Linked DNA regions of Saccharomyces cerevisiae S288C. Changing the gene in region 2 together with the main gene of any one other region gives a genetic interaction. Each region holds a gene or a part of one and is shown on either strand. Other genes may lie near its edges.

What was found. A genetic interaction does not mean that the proteins touch.
Region 1: mutations in RSO55 (region 2) and RRT8 together harm fitness more than expected from each alone (negative genetic interaction), as found in Saccharomyces cerevisiae (one large-scale study listed by BioGRID).

Annotation. Positions count from the first base shown.
Region 1 is NC_001147.6:239,704-243,461, reverse strand, and holds RRT8 (Rrt8p), read left to right. Parts: upstream 1-2,151; coding exon 2,152-2,436; intron 2,437-2,514; coding exon 2,515-3,258; downstream 3,259-3,758. Other genes in the region: LDS2 (Lds2p), read left to right, coding at 715-957, 1,021-1,848; GSH2 (glutathione synthase), read right to left, coding at 3,368-3,758. UniProt on the Saccharomyces cerevisiae protein: Involved in spore wall assembly. May be involved in the modulation of rDNA transcription.
Region 2 is NC_001144.5:703,986-707,080, reverse strand, and holds RSO55 (Rso55p), read left to right. Parts: upstream 1-2,120; coding exon 2,121-2,588; downstream 2,589-3,095. Other genes in the region: ECI1 (dodecenoyl-CoA isomerase), read left to right, coding at 41-883; PUT7 (Put7p), read right to left, coding at 951-1,895; YLR278C (uncharacterized protein), read left to right, coding at 3,057-3,095.

The sequences.
Region 1 (3,758 bases), on a different chromosome or scaffold from region 2:
GCAGGGCAGAGGAGTAACAATAAAACGCCCTGCAAAGAAGTATGATTACTGTTCTTGCCAGACTTAGAATTCTAAGTGTTAAAAGTCACCAATAAGGAAGGAAAAAAGTTTATGATAGTTTATACTGTTGTTGTTACTACCTGCTCCGTTATGTTTCTAACAAGGAATAAAACAGGGTATAGACGTGATGTCAGCTTAAAGAGGAAAACGAAATATGTAAACTTTGTTAAAAATAAACAGGGCCCCTTATTGATCGTTCGCGATGCTATTATTTTATAAGCCAGCCTTTATCGTTTCTTTTGATCTTGTTTCTTTTTCTTGTTTTTTTTTTTAACTTCGTTCTCTTTTCACGTACTGATTACTCACACCAGGAGAAAGAAGTTGAAAAATGCTGTTATTCTCTGGAACACGCTATTAGATAGTACTTGCTGGTTCCGTAGACAAACAGCTCTTGCGCTTTATCACTTCGACAAGTGTCTTTACAGCTTCGCGATGACATATCGTCTCTTGCCCCTGCCCCACCTGTAACAATAGCTTGGCCAAAAAAGAAAAAAATGTTCCGACGAATTTTTCCGCTGATTTTGGCTGATCGCGTCGCGCCACAAAAACGAAACTTCCATAATAAAACATTATATAAAGCTTTTTATTATTATTATTATTACTTTCTTAGTTATAGCATTAGAACTATAAGAGCTGCTAAGACACCAAGCAAACATGTCGACTAGACCCCAACCTGATTGGTATTACCATAGACATCCATATGCCTCTACGCCACTGGCAGAAGGGGAGGAACCACAATTACTCCCCATCCAAGACCAAGGGAACCATAAGAAATCAAAAATTTGGATGGCATACAAGGCTCCGATAGTTCGATGGTACAAGAATGCTATGCTTGTTAAAGACAATTTTTGGAAAGACCTAGAGTCGTCGCACCAGATCATCTGGTATCCGTATAAAGTATGTTGATGTTCCAATAAGCAGATCATGTTTTTTAAGCCGTCATACTAACCGCCTTTGAAGGGAATTAGCGAATCCGTGGGAAACTCGGATTATTTGCATCTATTTTTCCTAATATTTGGATACTACCTGCTGAATCTCCTGCTTATTGTTGCGTTTACGTCAATCCTTGCGTGGTCCTTGTTAGTGTGCATCTATTTGCCCTTTCTCGGACTCTTTGCGTTACCTCTGGCTTATATGCAAACTATTCTGATTTCCACAACGCTATGTAATTCTATGGTGAAGGGTACCGATTTCGTTCTTTTCACACGTATTTATGGAGTGACGTTCGCAAGAAAGGGATTAACAGAGTTGAGTGAAGCCTGTGAAACGATAAGTTTCACGCCCTTTGTCTACAGAAGGTCACATCGTTTGGGTGGCCTCTTTTCGAAACGGTTTTACCTCGTCTCTTTGCCGCAGTTTTTCATTTTTTTCTTCTGGTACATCTTCATAGCCTTTATGTTTCTTTTATTGTTGCTCGTTCCAATAGTGGGTCCAATTACAATCAATATGCTACCATTTAGCCCCGGAATGGGATTTTACTATTTTGAGCCTTATTTTGTTGACGTGCTACATTTGGATTCGCGCAAACTTTCCAAAGTTTACTACAAGGGCTTTGCCAAGTGGCTCCTTTACTCGATATCCAGCGGTTTATTAGAGTCTATTCCCATTCTGGGTGGGTTGTTCATTGGAACAAACGCAGTAGGTGCTTCGCTTTGGATAGTTAAAGAGATAAAAGACCGGGACCAGCCAGCCGTACCTCCTTCCCCTCCTGCGGAACCAGAAGAGCCTACTGTAGGATCCTATGCACCTCCAATCCAACAATCTATAGCTCACATTAATCCGCCATGAAGCTCGCAACTCTTTTACATACCAATTTATATATTCATTATATGTTTACATATATAAATATATATATATACTATATACTATATATTACTTGCTAATAATATTCGTTTCTTTTCAACATTTGTATATGCATAAAAAATTTGGGAAATCAGGGGACTTATGAAAATCAGGGTGGTTACACTCGGAACTTCAAAACCTAAATAAAGTAAATCACTTTCAAGAAAGGTGAAGGGACGTCAAAAAAAGGAAAAAAAGGGCAAGGTATATCCCTGAGGACCCCTGGTTGGCTGTAAAGACAAACTAAGGATGAAAGCCGGAATTGAGCTTATAAGTCACAGCCAGGCTTCTCACGCCACATATGCTAATTCTATGACCCTTGCAGAAAAGGGGCCACAACGTTTAAAAAGACAATTCAAAGAACACAGTTCTTCAAAGGAAAGTAACGTAAGTCGTTGGCTAAAGATTTTCATAAGACAGTTTGATATTTGGTTTCCTGAAACGATACCAACAATGAAAGTGAGATACGAACTGCTTAGAAAAAACTTCATTAAAGAAATTTTCAACTCAAGAGCATTTATCTACCCATTCTTAGTAAGTACATGATTTTTGTTTGCATTGATATGACTTGTTTTATGACTAACATATTTAATTTTTATTTGTTAACCGTAGGGGTTTTATGAAGTGCTGACGAATCCTGTTTATTGGAAGCATATTTTACTGTTTGCGGTTTGCTATGCCCTGATTTTTGTCACTATTGCTGGTCTCTTTTATGTCACACTTGTACCGCTTTTAGTGACATGGGCCATACTGTTATTAGGGCCTCTTGGTGTGATACTGGTTCATATTCAATGGATTTTACAAACGAATGTCTTGACTGCCTTTGTTTGTAGAACACTGGTCCTGACCCATATTACGAATCAGATATTTGATATATCTTTGGTGTTGCAAGACCAAGATGAATTTCTAAACGAGGTGAAGGTATTGCCTAAACCACAAAAGCCACATAGAAAAATCGATGAACCTGATGCGGTGAGAAATTTCAACACAATAAAGGGAAGTCGGATTTTTAAGATTCCCAGATTACTATTCAGAATGTTTTTTAAAGTCTCCAATTTTACTTCACTAACATTACTGTCGCTAATTCCTATTGTAGGACCAATCTTGGCAAATCAACTAATGGCCCCAAAAAGAACCTTTACCTATTTGCAGAGGTACTTTTTACTAAAGGGATTCAGTAAGAAACAGGCCAAAGATTTTCAGTACGAGCATTACGCAAGTTTCATATGTTTCGGTATGTCTGCCGGTCTACTAGAGTTAATACCCTTCTTCACAATAGTCACCATATCTAGCAACACTGTTGGTGCAGCTAAATGGTGTACTTCGCTACTAAAGGGTGAAAGAAAGAAGGAATGAGCCTAAAACAGCAAATTTATGTAGAAGTGTGATTATATATTCCTTAACTAATTGTTAATCAAGTTCTAGCATCATCTTCCTAGCATCTATGTGTATAGTACATGTACACCTAGTAAAGAATAATACTGTCCAAACATCCGAATCCTGCCGCCACTCCACCTTCATTTGAAGTATTAAATTTGGATCTTAGTAATGAGCCACTAAATTCGTTCGATAAAACTTGCTCGTCGTTAAATAGAACGCAACCATAAATTCCTAGTTCACTGATGATTGGTTCGTTGTAAGATTTGTTATCACGTAATATAATATTATTTTCATTCAACTCTGGTTCAATCAACTCCATGAGAATATATGCATCCCAGTGACGTTCTTCGATACCTTTCAAAAAATTAGGAATATTTTCTTTATAAACATTGTTTCCGCCACCTTCCCGCTGTGGTTTTAACACGTATTTAGAGGGCTCACTTAATGCCAGCCTCTTGCCTTCCCTGCCAAGCTTC
Region 2 (3,095 bases):
TGGCACAAATTGCTCGCACAGTAAAGGAAGGAAGAACAATATGTCGCAAGAAATTAGGCAAAATGAGAAAATCAGTTATCGTATTGAAGGACCATTCTTCATTATTCACTTAATGAACCCTGACAATTTGAATGCACTAGAAGGTGAAGACTATATTTATTTAGGAGAGTTACTAGAACTAGCGGACAGAAATCGTGATGTATATTTTACAATTATACAAAGCAGTGGTAGATTTTTTTCCAGTGGTGCTGATTTCAAGGGTATTGCAAAAGCCCAAGGGGATGATACCAATAAATATCCTTCGGAAACAAGCAAGTGGGTGTCAAATTTTGTCGCTAGAAATGTTTATGTCACTGATGCCTTCATCAAGCATTCCAAAGTTTTAATTTGCTGTTTGAATGGACCAGCAATAGGGTTGAGCGCGGCACTGGTAGCGTTATGTGACATTGTGTACAGTATAAATGACAAGGTTTATTTGCTATACCCCTTTGCTAACTTAGGACTAATTACCGAAGGTGGTACAACGGTCTCTTTGCCATTGAAGTTTGGCACAAATACGACGTATGAATGCCTCATGTTCAACAAACCATTCAAGTACGATATAATGTGCGAGAACGGATTTATAAGCAAGAATTTTAACATGCCATCTTCAAACGCTGAAGCGTTCAATGCAAAGGTCTTAGAAGAATTGAGGGAGAAAGTGAAAGGGCTATACCTGCCCAGTTGCTTAGGGATGAAAAAATTGCTGAAATCGAACCACATCGATGCATTCAATAAGGCTAACTCAGTGGAAGTAAATGAATCTCTCAAGTATTGGGTAGATGGAGAGCCCTTAAAAAGATTTAGGCAGCTGGGCTCGAAACAAAGGAAGCATCGTTTATGACGTCCGCTTTCTCAGTGAAACAAAACGCACACACAATATACTTATGTACAGACAATATGTATGCTAATTAATCTATATCATGTTGATCTTGAGGGAAGGTAGTATCAATGTCTTCCTTTGGTGCTAAAATTTCAGGTTCCTCAGGTTCCTGTAAACCTGGGCGTTCCTTCTTAGATGCGCTTACACCGATCATAATCGAACAAACAAGGACTAATATTACCAAAAGACCGCTTCTGGTTGTCTGCCATCTTAAATTTTCGATATGTGACCTGATATCCCCCAGTATCTTGGTTTGAATCTTGTTAGAACAGTCGTTCAATTTCAGGTTTAATTGTCGATACAAAAGGGTGTTTTCTAATTTTTGATTGTTAAATTCTAATTTAGCGTCCTTTTGCAAAAGATCTATTATGATTTCATTCAGTTCATCATGGATTGAGTTAAGTTCTCTCTTGAGTTTTAATAATTGCAAGTGGTGCTCATTTAGTTGCGTGTCTCTAGAGTTTTGAATTGCGAATTTCAATTCTGTTTCTAGCGAGCTGAACAAATGTGATTGTTTATTCAGCTCCATATCCCTTAAGAACAAATCATTGTAACAGGAATAAAACTGATCATTTAGTAGTTGCAACAATAGAGCTATGATAATTTTACATTGTTCATCGGAAAAATTGCCTCTTTCACGAAGCATTTGATAAAACTTTATAGTATCCAATTGATTTTGTGAAGTAGTAGGTTTCAATCCATTGCCCTGAGTAATAAAGTCCTCTGAAAATCTGTCTAACAGGCCAATGGAGTGCTTTCCTTCGTTTTCCTTCTCTGGCTTCTCCTGCTTCTCCTTGTTCTTGGATAATGGCGATGAGGATAGGTCTGATAACTGGATATTTTTCAATGACATTGATTTCTGCAAAAGTGGTTTTGAATACGAACTAAAGCACCGCAAACACAACAACGAGCCTTGCCGCCGTATTCTAGTTTTGAAGCATCGAAGCGGCAATGTACGTATTAACCGCATCATTAGTCTATTAGATGTTCAGAGTTTACATGTATACATAAACCTCTTCCATTCTTCCTTTATCGATAAAATTACTATACACTTAACTAAACTGTGCATTTTCCCCGGACTACCATAGCGCGCTATACGTTCCTAGAACGGATATGAGTTTATATATAAGTCTATGCTACCAACCTACAAGCTATGCGACCCTGGAAAAAGCGCAGAAGAATCCGAGACTAGTAAACTATGATGAGGGGAGCGAGTAAGAGGTCAATCAGCAGTGCCGCAGTGCTGCTGATTAAAAAGAACAAGCTACCACCGCGACCAAAGTTCACGCCAGAGATGGAAGCACAATGCACTGAGAAATTCCTTCATGGCGGCAGAGGGCCCGGTGGCCAAAAGATTAATAAGTGTAATTCTAAGGTACAACTACGGCATGAACCCACTGGGATCGTTGTCGAGTGCCAAGAAACGCGGTCACGTGAGCAAAATCGAAAGCTTGCCCGGCTTAAGCTCGCGCGCGAACTTGCGGCGTCGTACGACACGATGCCGTCCAGAGAGGAGGCGCTTCTACAGTGGCACCGTCAACAGAAACGCTCGCAGCGCCGGCGCAGCGTCGCGAAGTACGAGCAGCGTGAAGAGGCCGCTCGAGTCGAAAAAGAGGAACGCGAGGCCCGAGACAGAGAAATGGTGCGCGAGTTATTCCGCCGGTAACCGCAGGTGAAATTAGATGGAGGAGAAAAGAAAAAAAAAAATGAAAAAAAAAGTGTAACTTTGCTAAAATTTTCACCTGCGGGTACCGTCGGTCAAGACGTGGGTTGCGAACAAAAACCCTGGAACAACAATACATTGAATAGTTCCTGCTCCTGCACACTGCACGTTGAGACCTGAATCGCATCGTGTGGTGCTTATACGCTAATCTTTGTTAGCGGACATACTTTTTCTTTTTCTTTTCGCCTTTTCTTAGTATCTTTCTTGGATTCTTAACTATTTTGCTTTTTTTAGTCATTCATTATATATGGTTCTTTAGATCGGTCGTTCCATTAACATTTTTTTTTTTTTTTTTTTACACGTCAATAGTATAACTTACTCCCCACCATTTTTCCACTCTTTCATAAAGACAAGTGTATTTCACGTACTCATAATCTTCGGGCTAACTACCAACAATACACGTAAATAATAATGGGCCGTCCAAGGAAGAATGTTAGCCAGGAGAAAATA